Caenorhabditis elegans: one gene and its partner. The protein of the gene in region 2 interacts with the protein of the main gene of each other region in a pairwise test. Each region holds a gene or a part of one and is shown on either strand. Other genes may lie near its edges.

Region 1 (3,756 bases), 1.5 Mb from region 2:
AAACATTTATTTGGGAATTTGTTTCAATATCGAGTGAAACTTACCAGTAACAGATCGACATTTGTAGCCCAGTTAAAACTACTGGCGACAATGCAAATAAATAACATTCCCTAAAAAAAAGCGAATTTGAAATGTTTCATAGTCCAAATTTTACACACCCAAGCAAAATTCATGTTGCTCTCAATGTTTTGAATAGCAAGAATGAGTGTTGGAATGCAAATTGCTGCTCCGATAGCACAGACAAGAGCATCTGCACGAACTGTTTGAATGTGCTTAAAAGGACCAACTCCACGAGACCACATCTAAAAAAAAGATGTATATTTTTCTAATCTTCAACGACAATATTTACATTTGAAACCAATGTACCAATAGCAACACCAAGAACGCCACCAACACAAGTGAGTGCACCGAATACCAAGTTAATGTTTGCTTTCTGATCTTCTGTAATTGTTCCGTTCCTTCTAGCAGAATCTGCATATTGAATTGTAATTGGAGCCCACCAAGCGAGAGTTCCGACCATGAAAACAGTTGCAGTATAACCGAGACTGCTTGTCACATATGTTGCACTGAAATATGAAAGGTTGCTTTTTAAATAAAATTGAAAGAAACTCACTTTGAAAGCAAATCCTTCATATCATCCAAATAACTTGTTGCTTCTGTAGATGCAGCAATTTCTCCCTTTTCACGTTCAGCTTTTCCACGTTCTGGTTCTCTAACAAACACGATAATAAGCAAGAGACAAACGATTCCGAGAACTCCAGTCACTCGTACTCCCCATTGCCAATGTCCTGTCCAACTAGCCACAGCAGATCCAACTACAAATCCCAGACCACATCCAAAGGGAATCGCAAAGTAGAAGACCATAAGCATTCTGGAACGGAGCACTCCAGTGAACATATCAGCAATAACAGTTGGGGAGATAATTGCATAAGATGCTTCTCCGATTCCAACAATTCCGCGGAATAAAAGGAACAACCAGAATTGCTGAAAATGAAGTTGATTGAAGAAATAGTATGATTAGAGTCAAAAACTCACATTAGATGGAATAAAAGTGGAAGCAAACACTGCAGACACCCAAATCGCAATTCCAACAACAAAAATCCATTTTCGATTGTAACGATCTCCTAGGAAACCGCAAATTGGAGAGAAAATAATGAAGAACACCATGAACGTTGTTTGAATCAGTCCAGCCCAAGCATCACTAATATTGTAGTAGGTTTGTACATCATTAAGGACTCCTAAAAATTTTATTGGTTTTTAAATGCTAATTTCCTCTACGAATAATGTTTTTAATGTTTTTTTTGTTGAAAACGTTATATTATTGCAGTAGGAAAAGTTCCACACATACTAATTCAAATTTGACATGCACATATTTTTTAATGCTCCGTTTAGATCAAAAAATGATGTTTGTCCCATAGTTATTGTACTCACCCATTACGTAAATTCTTATCTTCTAATGATGACAAGTTCAAACAAGATACTCTCTCATGTCGTTTTCCGGCCATTTTCATCTTTCTACCTTTTGTTGTTTATAGTTTTGGAGGCTCTACTAAATTTTATTGCACGGAAAACTGTCACATGGTTACATGAATTGTGTTTTGAATATTGTACCAAGGAGGTAAAATAGTTACTGTCAACTAACCTGCAATCGTATACCGATCCATATAATTGAGAAGATTGATGATGAATAAAATGGCAACTACAACAATAGTCCAACATCCTTGAAATTCTGGTTGAGATGCGGTTGTTGCAGTTGAATTTGATCGAATCTTGTCTTCAGGTGAATCCGTTGGAGTTGTATATGGTGGCGGAGGCTCGAAGTTTCTTTGAATATTGGCTCCATCTTCAACTGGTGCCACTTTGTTTCTCACCATCGTTCACTCTTCAAAATGTTAGAACTTAAATATTTTAATTTTCAAACTAAATGAGAGTTCATTGAAACGTTGTTACTTGAACTCGTAATAAATTAAACGTATTAAGAGACACGGAAAAAAAAAATGAAAATTGAAGCATTCGTGAGATGAAATGAACAGAAACAGGAAACTGTCGGATTAAATTATTAATTCATAATAATCGGTTTGATGGTCAGTGTGCATGTCGGTTTTTATCATTAACAAAGACACTGCAAAAAATGGTCTGATTTTTCAGGCTTTTCAGGAACAGAAAGTAGTAACAAAATTAATTAATTTTTACCAAGAGATATATTAATCTGTCATTTTATTTGTTTTCAGTAACACATTTAAAACTCAAACATAAAATACATTCTGAAGTTGTTGTCGGCCAAAATAACAGCCTATATCCAAAACGTTTGAAAACAAAAGAACAACAAAAGCAAGTGGACATTCTTATAGATTTGTTGCTCCATGTATTATGACTCATTGAATTTTTGGAAATCTCAGTGATTCAAACGAAATGCATTTTTAAATAACTTTGAACACGGTTCAAAATGTATTTGCCCTTGAGATTATATGAAATTTCCGGAATAAAGACTATTTCAAAGCCAAAATTCAAATAAATCCAAAAAAGGTTTAAAAGAAGTGTTTTAAAAAACTCATTTTTACCGTTAAGATGTTTTATTCGATACTAAGCAGAAAATAGTTTTATTTCACAAAAATGATCGGCTAGTTTTTGAAAATTGGAAAATAAGTTGGATTGTTCAAACCGTTTTATTATTTTCAGTATTCAAAGAACTTTTAAACGTTATTTTGTACAGTTTACGAGAAATGTAGACTTCGCCAAATAGAAGGGAATACCCCCCAGATAAATGAATCAATGACAATGGATATAACAGTTAGAGTTACAATAAGCGGGTACCCTACAAACTATATCAGTATCAAACCTCCAAATGAAAAAAGAAGGAATGTAGTTCGAAAAGGTCATAGAAACCGTGCAATGATTGTGGGAGAGAAAAAAGGGAGTGCGAAACCATTTTACAGCCACTTCTCCTCTTATCGCATAACGTGCTAAACACGTAGTGAAGCAAAAATGTAAATGTGCGGGAAAACTTGGAAATACATTTTATTTGTACCAGAACAATGTGATGAAAATGATTCACAATGTTCGTCTTGAAAACCTGGAATTCAGAATATAACAATACAAATTAATCGATGAAATTGGAGAAGGAAAGTGTGTCCGTATGTCCTCGAAGGCATCACCGCATGTACTTTCACCGTCAATGTGATGCGACTATTCATTCCATTTTATATATGTACATATAGTCAACTTCCATTTCTCTTTACAAACTTTTCTTCTGCGGTGTGTATTTGTCTTTGGTCGCCGCTTGATAAATTAAGTGACAAGCTCAAAAATTTATATCATTTCGGGAAAACGTAACAAAACCGGTAAAAGGCCACCAAAAACCAAAAAGAACCGGAGAAATGACAGTTTAAAACGAGATGGACAATTGAAGATCTTAATCTTCTAGATATGTGTTTCTACTGTAAAAAATCAGGTTATGCCAATTCCTGCCGATGGGAAAATTTACAAAGGAAACGAATATTAAACCACCTGTAGAAAGAAAAAAGATTGTGGTTTCGACACCATGAAATATTAACAAATAATATTTATGTCTGGCGACCTATAATAATCGAACATTTTAAGAGGAAAACACTCAAACTCAGACCGTCGGTTCACGAGAATGCCTACCTTCCTGGCACGAAGAAAGCGGCAGAAATGAAGCAAGGGGCAAAGAGATGGGTCGATTTTTTTGCTACGAGATATTAAGGAACTGTCTTATCATGAGAATCCATACCGTTC
Region 2 (3,756 bases):
ATAGCTCCACTGCACACAAAAATCGCGGGAAAATATGTAGGAATTTTCGTGACGTCAGATCTGCGTTTCAATTTTAGCGTCGACACAAAAATCGAAGTCTAAATTGAAAAAAAAATTCACAATGCGCTGTGACGTCACAAAAACCGAACTTATTCTTCCGCCATTTTTGTGTGCAGAGATGGGACAATCTGACACCACGTGAAGAAATGCAATTGAAAAAAAAACATGCGTGGTTTAATTTAAAAAAGTTCTAAAATAAAATTACTCACAAAATTTCATCGGAAGATGCACGAGAACGAACTCCATTGGTGGCAGATGTCGAACTTGGAATATCATTTCCAGCTCCAAATCGAACACTTTCTCTTGTTGGTGTCTTATCATTTGGAGGTGTTGTAGTTGGTGTGTAGTCATCATGATTAGAAATTGGAGACGATGGCTGGGAAACACCACGTGAAACATGCCCACTGTCGATGGAAGTTCTGAAACTACTATTGCTACGTCTAATAACAATAATGTAAATAAAATTTTATATCAAAACATGCGATGACTAGAGTCTATCAAAATAAATAATTTTAAAATCACTTACACACTCGGCGGTTTTCCAAGATATTTCTCAATTTCAACTGGATTCGATGAAGAATTGAGAAGCTCGTCGAGAGAAATTCCCTGCTCTTCTTGTTCCAATTTCTCCTTTTCCTTCTGCTCTTCATCGGCAGTCGATGTCGATGATCTCCAGAACCAGCTACTCCATCGTGATGTCGACTTTTCAGCATCCTCGTCTTGTTTTTTTCTTTTATTTTGTTCTCTTGTCTCCGGAAGTTCTCCCCATTTCCAGTCAGTAACATCGTGTGGTTCTGGTGTGGCATTGCGATCCCGTTGACGATCAACTTCCGAATCGGAAAGAGCACCATCGGCAATTCGATCAGCCTCTCTTTGATCAACCAACGATGGGGATGGTGATGAATTTACAGAAGAATCTAACTCCGAATCCGAATCATTATATTGTTGAATTTTAATGTCAATTGGACGAGTTGCTTGTTGATTAAATGTGACACGACTCTTCTTTCGAAGTGGAATCCGACGATCCATATCGTGTGTTTCCCGTCTTAAACTACGTAGAATCTCATCATTTGACTTGTGAAAATGTTTCTTTTCCATTGGAGAGCACTGTGAATGAGAGTGGACAAATGGCCGTGGAGTCTTCCGTGTCCTCTTTCCGTCACTCTTCTTGATATCTGTTCTCTCCACCTCGGTCTCAGCAGCGAGAACTGTAAGATCTGGGAGTGATCGGTAGCGACGATCACTGAAAACAGATGACGAGAATGGAAGTGTCTGCTTTCTTTGAACTTGACTCAGTGATTGCCTGAAATTTAATTAATATAATAATCAAAACTTCTATTTAATATCAACTCACTCTTGTTTCGGCTCTCTCGCATTTCCTTGTCCTCCGTCTGGACTTGACGATCTGCTTTTCGCAATATCATTCATATCGACATCTTCATTTTCATTCTGCGTTTCTTCCAACTTTCGTGCACTCTCTGCCAACACTTTGTCCACCGCAGGTCCTGCAGTCTGTGGGGTCTCTTGCTCGGGCAGTGGAGAAGTCAGAAGGTAGTCTGGTACTTGATCGTCGGCCTCTTCAACAAAAAACGCGACACCACTGTCAGCCAACTTCATTTTCAAATCGATTTCTACACCATTGACAGCGATATCCACATATTTATCACTGTAACTGAAGACTCCATACTTTCCAAAACGAACATGGAATGGTGTTGATTTGTATTCTCCATTTGGTTGCTCTACGACAACCACATCGATTGCTCCTGAAAGAATTTAAATTATAAAAAAGTAACTAGTGACACGGAATACAAACCTGAAAGTGTGGCAGGATTAATTGAATTGTAAAAATATTTGACATTTTTGAACACACGATATGCGTAATCCATTTGCGTCCCTGTGCCAATTAACACATCCGAATGTCACTTTTAAAAGATAATATGATGTTTATTTGATTGAGAAATGGGAGTAAGATAGTCGTGGAGTAGGCGTGCGTATAGTGACCCGATGAACCTATCTGTAAATTAATAATTATTTCAACGAAACAGTACGGATAACGATGACGGGGAGTGCCCTCTCTCGTTCATAGAACATAGTTCGTACTGTGTTTCACACCGATGAGAAGAAAACTGATAAGATTAAGAGAGAGAGAAAGAAAGCGAAAAACCGGAGAAATATCACGTTTCTTCTCGGAAAAATCATTGAAAAAACAACTGAATGGCAGAGGATGTTCAAAAAATGATGTTTGCTCGAAATTCTGCTCATTTTCAAAAAACTTTCGAATTTCTTGAGGTAAAAGTTCACTTTTTGCTCTGCCGGCTCTACTTCTCATATTTTTCTTGATGGACAGATGCTGTCTACATTGAATGAAAATTGCACAAAGTGAATTTTATTGCAAACATATTGAGTTCTATGCATCGAGAAGCAGCAGAGAAAAAGAGCGTTAAACAATAGAAAAACACAGATGATATAGAGAGACAAACGGTGAACGGACGAGAAAGGGCAAAGTTCTTTGGTTGCGAAATTGGTGTGATATTGAGTGGGTGAAAACTAGGCCAGCGCTGATTCATTTAATAGTAAAGACATTCGGGATATATGTCTCTTTTTGTGTGAATAGGCTTTTTTCTTCAAAAAATATCCAAAATAGTCTCAATTACACAAAAAAAAACGAAAAAAATCGCGAATTTTTTTGGAGCGAACTAATTCATGTAATTTAGCCAAAAAGGAAAATTTTGGTTTTTAAAAGTTGGATTTTTCATTCTTTCGCAATTTTTTTCGATTTCTTTTGCGGTATTTCTGAATTTGAGACTTTTTTTGATTTTTTATGCAAAATGCCCATTTACGATACTCGAACTTCAATTTATATTTTTCGACGAATGTTTTTTTTAAAGCAAATGGAATGGAAAACTGAATACTTTGAAATTAAAAAAAAACACCCAAAATAAATATTTCGCAACATAAGCACTAAACTCGTTAGAGAAAACACTAGAATGAACATAAAAATATGGAAAAAAAAACAATCTGTTAGGTGTTTGATCGTCTCATAAAACATCATTTCGTTCTTTTCTAGATTTTAGAGTCAACAATAACTTTTCAAGTTGGAAAAAACTGCCAAAAAATGCTATAAGCATGATAAATACGACTTCAGGGCACCCAAAATTGGAAAGCTGAGAAAAGGGGGTGAAACCCTTCTTGCACACTCACACTATTGCGGGAAACAGCAAGAGAGAGAGTGCACCACATTGGTGCAGAGAAAAAGAGTAGAGGGCACCACGAAAAAAGAGAACAAATGAGAGTAGAAAAGAAAATAGAGAAAAACCAAGAGACTTGCAATACTCAGGAGAAGTGAGAGGCGATGAAAAGTACAAACGATCGGAAAGAAGTAGAAAAAGAAGGAGGAGAAGGAGGAGGAGGAGGAGGAGGAGGAAAAAAAGAAGAGAAGGATGACCAACTAACTTGTCTGTTTCTCTCTCTCTTTTTCATTCTTTCTCGTACAATCCAGTTGCATTAGTATTCACAAAGAACAGATGATAGTTAATGGCCGAGGATAGAACTTGTTTGTGTGGCCAGGGAGAGTGAATGGGTGTTCCGTTTTTGACGCCCATCCCGCGCACAATTTAAGTACAACATAATTGCAGACTTGGAAGCGCATTTCGAGGTTATTTTGGGTCTCGACGCGACAGATTTTTGGTAAATGCA

What was found. The genes of interacting proteins can lie anywhere in the genome.
Region 1: the proteins of lpin-1 (region 2) and spin-1 interact in a two-hybrid assay, tested with the Caenorhabditis elegans proteins (one large-scale study listed by BioGRID).

What each region holds. Positions count from the first base shown.
Region 1 is NC_003283.11:12,113,119-12,116,874, reverse strand, and holds the start of spin-1 (Major facilitator superfamily (MFS) profile domain-containing protein), read right to left. Parts: upstream 1,883-3,756; 5' UTR 1,875-1,882; coding exon 1,643-1,874; intron 1,501-1,642; exon of another isoform or gene 1,322-1,500; intron 1,239-1,321; coding exon 1,036-1,238; intron 985-1,035; coding exon 614-984; intron 567-613; coding exon 350-566; intron 303-349; coding exon 159-302; intron 111-158; coding exon 45-110; intron 1-44.
Region 2 is NC_003283.11:13,652,056-13,655,811, forward strand, and holds the start of lpin-1 (LNS2/PITP domain-containing protein), read right to left. Parts: upstream 2,075-3,756; 5' UTR 1,947-2,074; coding exon 1,874-1,946; intron 1,824-1,873; coding exon 1,415-1,823; intron 1,364-1,414; coding exon 587-1,363; intron 480-586; coding exon 270-479; intron 1-269.